Callithrix jacchus: one gene and its partner. The protein of the gene in region 1 purifies or fractionates together with the protein of each later gene. This does not show direct contact. Links are inferred from orthologs where the notes say so. Each region holds a gene or a part of one and is shown on either strand. Other genes may lie near its edges. The genes, in order: VIM and NES.

The links.
Region 2: the proteins of VIM (region 1) and NES purify together in Homo sapiens (affinity purification with mass spectrometry; 3 studies listed by BioGRID and IntAct, counting the BioPlex papers as one, with this or other methods). This does not show direct contact. The link is inferred for Callithrix jacchus from reciprocal best matches to the Homo sapiens genes VIM and NES.

What each region holds. Positions count from the first base shown.
Region 1 is NC_133508.1:18,041,812-18,045,246, reverse strand, and holds part of VIM (vimentin), read right to left. Parts: intron 1,859-3,435; coding exon 1,763-1,858; intron 1,666-1,762; coding exon 1,504-1,665; intron 807-1,503; coding exon 681-806; intron 333-680; coding exon 112-332; intron 1-111. UniProt on the Homo sapiens protein: Vimentins are class-III intermediate filaments found in various non-epithelial cells, especially mesenchymal cells. Vimentin is attached to the nucleus, endoplasmic reticulum, and mitochondria, either laterally or terminally.
Region 2 is NC_133519.1:17,080,078-17,084,372, reverse strand, and holds the start of NES (nestin), read left to right. Parts: upstream 1-1,352; 5' UTR 1,353-1,492; coding exon 1,493-2,275; intron 2,276-3,418; coding exon 3,419-3,543; intron 3,544-4,295. UniProt on the Homo sapiens protein: Required for brain and eye development.

The DNA of each region.
Region 1 (3,435 bases):
ATTCCTCCTCTACAAAAATGGAAAGTAGTTACCTGAAAGGAACTTCTAAAAATTAAGTGTGACGCTGTGCTTAGAGCCCAATGGTTCCTGCATCCAAGCCTGAGCTCCTACCTGCTCTCCTCGCCTTCCAGCAGCTTCCTGTAGGTGGCAATCTCAATGTCAAGGGCCATCTTAACATTGAGCAGGTCTTGGTATTCACGAAGGTGACGAGCCATTTCCTCCTTCATGTTCTGAATCTCATCCTGCAGGCGGCCAATAGTGTCTTGGTAGTTAGCAGCTTCGACGGCAAAGTTCTCTTCCATTTCACGCATCTGGCGTTCCAGGGACTCGTTCTGCAGGAGGTGAGAAAGGTTTCTGGTGTTATTGCTCAGAAAAACCCAGCTATTCCCAGAACCATTTAGTCTTCTTGCAATAATTTCCATTAGTGGCAAATGACAACTACTCTAGTCGTAGGCGGAGAATGCAAGTACCAAGTCCTTCATATGAGAAGCAATGATATACACAAGCTAAAACCTTCAAGAGCGCCATCAAGTCCTTTTTGAGTTTGTCGTGATAAGTCATTTTCTTTGCATTACCGTATAAATTTTTATTCACTCAACATTTTGTTCAGGCTTCGCCATTAGCATAGTCAGCAGAATGGGTCATTATTTCCCCTCTTTTACTGCAGGGTTGGTACTCACGGTTCCTTTAAGAGCATCCACTTCACAGGTGAGGGACTGCACCTGTCTCCGGTACTCATTGGACTCCTGCTTTGCCTGGCGTAGGGCATCATTGTTTCGGTTGGCAGCCTCGGAGAGGTCAGCAAACTGTCGGGGAGAAAACAGAAATGTACATTGCTCCCATTCAAGTCTTGACTCTCTTAGAAAAAAAAGATCATATTTCCCACTGAATGTCTTCCAGTATAGGCTTAAATTTCTGTTTTGAAAGCCAGAGAAAGAGCAGTGGAACACTGACATTACTATCTTCAGAGTTCACTCTACTGTACTCATTTAAACACAGTGGAGGTCAAAGTATGGCATTGGGGTTTACTTGGAGGCACGGTTAAGAGGAAGGGAATCTGCTATTCTGAAGGAGGTGATATGGCCAGGAGTGGTGGCTTATGCCTGTAATCCCAGCATTTTGGGAGGCTGAGGCAAGGCAGATCACCTGAAGTCAGGAGTTCAAGACCAGCCTGGCCAACATGGTGAAACCCCATCTCTACTAAAAATACAAAAATTAGTCGGGCATGGTGGTGCTCGCCTATGGTCCAAGCTACTTGGGAGGCTGAGGCAGGAGAATTGCTTGAACCCGGGAGGTGGAGGTTGCAGTGAGCCAAGATGATGCTACTGCACTCCAGCCTGGGCAGTAGAGCAAGACTCCATCTCAAAAATAAATAAATAAATGTGAGCAACAAGTCAAAGCCAGCTTTTAACTGGAGCTACAGGATAGGAATTACACACAGGAATGGTGTTTTGAGAACTCAATGCTTTTCTTCTGTGCAGGCCACAGGGACTTGTTTCCTACCTTAGACTTGTACCATTCTTCTGCCTCCTGCAGGTTCTTGGCAGCCACACTTTCATACTGCTGACGTACGTCACGCAGGGCAGCCGTGAGGTCCGGCTTGGAAACGTCCACATCGATCTGGACATGCTGTTCCTGAATCTGAGCCTGCAGCTCCTGGATTTCCTGCAAAAAAAAAAAAAAAAAGCAGATAGAAGGTCAGCTGTGCCAACTGTGGGGGTTGCCTTACCTTCATTCATTTCCCGAAAGACACTCTACTAACCTCTTCGTGTATTTTCTTCAAAAAGGCAATCTCTTCTTGCAAGGATTCCACTTTGCGTTCAAGGTCAAGACGTGCCAGAGACGCATTGTCAACATCCTATTTTGAACAGAGAAAAGACAGGACATGGAGGATGTAAAAGTCTATGGCTTCTCTCACTTATTCATCTTAGATTAACCATCTAAACCTAGTCTCCTTACTATAGAAAAGGTGTTGACAAATTTTACCACCCTTGAGTAAGTTTAGAAATCATTTAGTGCTATCATATGCTACGCTTTCTCCTGCTCACTAATAAATTTTAATCATGACCCCTTGTGTTTTACTCAAGGTGGTGATCAGACAATTTTAAAATAAATAAATGTCTACAAATGTGGTAAACTGTACGCAATCATGACTGAATCCACATTTTACCAGTGACATTTTAAAATTACTTTTTAAGACTCAGAGTAGTGGCTCATGCCTGTAATCAACAAAATCCAACCTGTATAGATCAGGGGTCAGCAAACTGCAGCCCGTGGCTGTCTGTTTTTGTAAATAAAGTTTTACTGAAGGCTGGGCATGGTGGCTCATGCTTGTTAATCCCAGCACTTTGGGAGCCAGAGGCAGGGGATCACCTGAGGTCAGGAGTTCGAGACCAGCCTGGCCAGCATGGTGAAACCCCATCTCTACTAAAAATACAAAAATTAGCTGGGTGTGCTGGCACACGCCTGTAGTCTCAGCTATTTAGGAGGTTGAGGCAGGATAATTTCTTCAACCTAGGAGGCGAAGGTTGCAGTGAGCCGAGATCGTGCCATTGCACTCAAGCCTGGGTGACAGAGAAACAGTCTGTCTCAAAAAAATTAATTTAATTTAATTACTTTTGAAATCTAGAAAATCTCTGTCATAACATTTTTAAGATTGGTTTTGTAATTTCATGGAATAACATGATAATAGACATGGACAAAATTTCACAACTTCATGTACACTTGAGCACATAAAGAACAGAAACTCATGCTTTAAGAGTTTAAGTTTTTTTCTCCACTAGAATCTTCTGAATCTCATCCTTAGGCTCCAGAGCAAATATGTAGCCATCTGGCATCCATTGTACAAGGCTAGATTTATATTCAATAATAGCCCAATTCAGGAATATGGGCATTGCCTAAGATTCAGTTCAGGAAAAAATGGAAAAGACACGTAATTCTTAATGTATTTGCTTTGCTTTCTCTGATGGAGTTTTCTTCTAAAACTCCTTTGGCTCCTCTCATAAAGGCATGTCTTTTTCACTTGCTACTGTATCAGTTCAGTTAGCCTGTTTCTGAATCACTGACCAAGCTTGCAGATAATGAAACTACATGAATTTTTGCTGATTCAGCTGTCCTTCTATGTTTCCATTTGTAAAGGGCAACATTCCAAATCAGAATATGTACTTTTGCAACTAAGATTTTATTTTCTCTCTAAAGGATGCATGAGGATTGCTTATCTTGTCAGTAATTATATTTGGAGTTCAGTTTATACTCTTAGAGTATTAAACTGTTGAGACTTTTCTATCATCTTTGGGAAAAAATGAATGAAGAGTGGGTGATAAAAAGATCCAACTTAATGAAAACATTCATTTTTACTTGGTAAGCCCTAAAAAAGACATAACAAATATTTTACTAACCTCTCAAAAAAGATCAATAGCGTATTCTATTACATTG
Region 2 (4,295 bases), on another chromosome or scaffold:
TCGCTGCTTCATGAACTTTCGAATCCTTAAACGGCTGTTTTGAAGATTAAGTCAGATCATGGAAGTAAAATGTTAGAACAGGACTGGGCACATCATAAAGGCTGGATAAACTTTGGGCTCGTCGTTAGGAAGCAGGCTGACAAACATGGTTTCCATGTTTTCATTTAAATCTTTAGTTAAAACTTTGAATAGTTTTAACTAGGCCGGGCGCGGTGTCTCACGCCTATAATCCCAGCACTTTGGGAGGCCGAGGCGGGTGGATCACGAGGTCAAGACTTGATCGAGACCATCCTGGTCAACATGGTGAAACCCCGTCTCTACTAAAAATACAAAAATTAGCTGGGCATGATGGTGCGCGCCTGTAGTTCCAGCTACTCGGGGGCTGAGGCAGGAGAATTGCTTGAACCCAAAAGGCGGAGGTTGCGGTGAGCCGAGATCGTGCCATTGCACTCCAGTCTGAGTAACAAGAGCGAAACTCCGTCTCAAAAAAAAAAAAAAAAAGTTTTAACTAATGGTGGCCTCTTCCTGCTGCTTCCACTTATACTTGCCGCTAGAGGGCGCCCTCCACTCAAAACTCTCTGGCAGGGCGTGCGGGAGAAGGGGCCCTTTCCCCAAAACAGAACTTCCGAAAGTGGATGTATGAACCTCGCAGTTATACGGAAGAATTGCAGGAAAGATGGAGAGAGAAACGTTCTTAAGCCCATGTCGGCCCTTCACCGGTTGCTTCCTTTTCTGATGAAGACTCAAGCAATTGAGGATGTGTGTGTGTGGGGGGGTGTGTGTGTGTGTGTGTCCCAATATCAGACATTTGTTCTTGTTCTCCAGGCAGCGTCTCTCCATCTTCTTTCTGCAATGCTTTGTAATGTCTCCAGTATTTCAGGAGGATGAGCATTTGCTATTCACAATAAAGAAAGAAAACTGGTTATATCCATTTTTTCAGCAGCCATGCGATTTCCATCATTGCTCCCATTTTATGGATGAGGAAACTGAGTCTTAGAGGAATTCAGTAAGTGATAGCTCCCTCGGATGTGTTGAGTAACTGAGGCCGCACTCCCCTCTAGGCTGGAACGTCCTGGCACCCCCACCCCCACAGGCTCAGTTCTGTGTATTATCTGCCTTTTTCCGGGATTGTGACCTTTCTTCACCTCCTCCTTCCCCAGAAAGCCACCACCATCAGATCCGATTCTCCACGGCACGGCTTCTTTTTTGGTTCCACTCTCCAGCATCCCGGGGAAGCAGGGACAGAGACTGCTGCCATTCTCTGACCTCTAAGGGGTTAAGGCCTGGGTCCCGCCCCTCTTCCCGCCCGCCTGGCGGGAGTATGAATAGCCTCGCTCCCACTCCCGACTCTCAGTCGCTCAGTCTACTCCCACTCCGCCCTGCCCTGTCATTGTCCCCGTCGGTCTTTCTCTTCAGTCCGAAAACCTCTGCGAGCCGCTCCCTTCTCCTGGTGCCCCGCGTCTGTCCATCCTCAGTGGGTCAGACAAGCAGGATGGAGGGCTGCATGGGGGAGGAGTCTTTTCAGATGTGGGAGCTCAATCGGCGCCTGGAGGCCTACCTGGCCCGGGTCAAGGCTCTAGAGGAGCAGAATGAGCTGCTCAGCGCGGAGCTCGGGGGGCTCCGGGCACAATCCGGGGACACCTCCTGGCGGGCGCGTGCCGACGACGAGCTGGCTGCCCTGCGGGCCCTCCTTGACCAGCGCTGGCGGGAGAAGCACGCGGCCGAAGTGGCGCGCGACAACCTGGCTGAAGAGCTGGAGGGCGTGGCGGGCCGATGCCAGCAGCTGCGGCTGGCCCGGGAGCAGACGGCGGAGGAGGTGGCCCGCAACAGGCGCGCCGTCGAGGCGGAGAAATGCGCACAGGCCTGGCTGAGTAGCCAGGCTGCAGAGCTGGAGCGCGAGCTGGAGGCTCTGCGCTTGGCGCACGAGGAGGAGCGGGTAGGCCTGAACGCGCAGGCTGCCTGTACCCCCCGCTGCCCCGCGCCGCCCCGCGGGCCCTCGGCGCCGGCCCCGGAGGTGGAGGAGCTGGCAAGGCGACTGGGCGAGGCGTGGCGCGGGGCAGTGCGCGGCTACCAGGAGCGCGTGGCGCACATGGAGACGTCGCTGGGCCAGGCCCGCGAGCGGCTAGGCCGGGCTGTTCAGGGTGCCCGCGAGGGCCGCCTGGAGCTGCAGCAGCTCCAGGCTGAGCGCGGAGGCCTCCAGGATCGCAGGGCAGCGTTGGAACAGAGGTTGGAGAGCCGCTGGCAGGAGCGGCTGCGGGCCACTGAAAAGTTCCAGGTGAGGAGGTTGAGGATCTGGGGGAGACCGGGCTTCAGAAAGTCTCTTATGAAGCTCAGAGACCTTCTGGGAAGGGAGTGGGGCTAGGTGGCTGCTGATTCAGGAGCCACTTCTTAGAAACCTGGTGCCACAAGCCCTAGACTTTTCCAGCCCGTCCAGTGTAGGGTGCAAATGGTGGGACTTCGGAGCCTCCCAAAGCACATCCGGGGGAGGGCAGTCAGGCCCAAGACCCCTTGCAGCAGTCCCCCTACTCTGGATGGCGTCGTCTGGCTCTGATGATTACCGGGGCTCCGGGCCCCTCCCCAGGCTCTGCTATCACTGGGAGACCCCAGCACTGTCGCCTCTGCACTGAGTCTGGTGGGCTGGCCACCCAGAATCTTCAGGTTCCTCACAGCCCTCCTCCCGCTGAGGGGAAAAGTGAGGGGCTGGGAATGAATGGCTACCAGCCCCCTCCCCTGTCATGTTTCCCGGCTTCCTGGAGCACATTCCAGAGGCCCAGGACAGCTGCTCCTTCTCACAGGGCACAGATGTGACCAGCAGCTGAGAAAACAGCCTCTTGCCTGGGCCACACGGAGGTGCCACGGCCACCTCCCCATCCCTCCTCTGAGAGGAGAGAGAATCCAGAACCTGTGGAAAGGGAGGTGGGGGTGGGGATTGGAGCCTGCTGTGAGGAGCAGGAGACAGCCTTGGAGATGGGACCAATGGGGGACCTGGCTGTTTGCCTTCCAGTCCTGCAGGCTCCAGGCCTCTTGATTAATCGTTTTTCCTTCTGCTTTCGCTTTTTTTTCCCCCCTCTTCTCCTCTTGGTAACCCATCTCCTCTCCTCCCTCACCTCTGCTTCCTGTGGGAGCTGCGTTCTGAGCAACATGTGCTACCATTTAATCAGCATCCTCAGAGGAGGAGCAGGCCGTGGGAGAGGGCTCGGAGGGCTGACACGGGCTTGGGCTCATCTTGGCTGATGCAGAGGGGGCTGTCTGGGCAGGGAGTGGGGTAGGGGAGGTGGGGGTCTGCTGCTCGGAGTCAGCCAGGGAGCGGGAGATGCAGCCCCGGCAGTGGCAGGGGCAGCAACAGCAGGCAGGGTGCAGGGTGGTTCACAGAAGGGACCCCAGCCCTTCCACTGACTGCCTCTCGCCTGCCCTACAGCTGGCCGTGGAGGCCCTGGAGCAGGAGAAACAGGGCCTGCAGAGCCAGATCGCCCAGGTCCTGGAAGGTCGGCAACAGCTGGCGCACCTCAAGATGTCCCTCAGCCTGGAGGTGGCCACGTACAGGTACGAGGTGGGCCCGTCCACCCTGGCGCACAGAGGCGCACACACACACCGCGGGAGACTGTGTGACTGAAGGGGACCAGAGGTGTCGGTGATGGCAGCTGTGCTGCCACTGGGTTCTGTGACTGAGCTGGTCACTGCCACACCAGGACATGTCCTGTGTGAACTCATCTGTCCCTCATAGGATGGAGACCTGAGAAATGTCCTGTGCCCAGGAAATCCCCCCAGGAGAGAAGATATTGCAGAGTGGGACAGCCTCTGGAGAGGCTACATCCAGACCCTTCCCCCCGAGGGGCAAAGCTCCAACTCTGTGTGTGTGCCCACACCCAGGGAGTCGAGTCCTTTGGCAGCCATAGAAAGTAGCCACTGCAGGCCTGGGGTGGCTGCACTGACTTGCCACCTGACCTGGGCCTCAGCCTTGTCTAGGGGCTGAGGGCTTCGCTGGGGACTTCCAAGGCCTCTTCTAGTCTGGATGTCATGGGGCCTGGCTCCTCTGATGCCCCTAATGCCCTTGGTCCTGCCCAGCCTTTTGTTGTCCACATTTCCTGTTGTCCTGGAGAAGGCTGAGACCAAGGAGGGGCGGCTTCTCACTGGCTGTGTGGCCTCAGCCACAGCCCATGGTGTCTTCTGGGAAACTGGGCCTGTGAGCTGAGGGGCCATGGATGGAGCCTGTGGAAGGGGCTCTGTGCCTGGTGAAGAGCCTCAAGAGGTCCAGGAAGGGGGGAGGCAATGCCCAGAGGAGGAAGGTCAGCGAG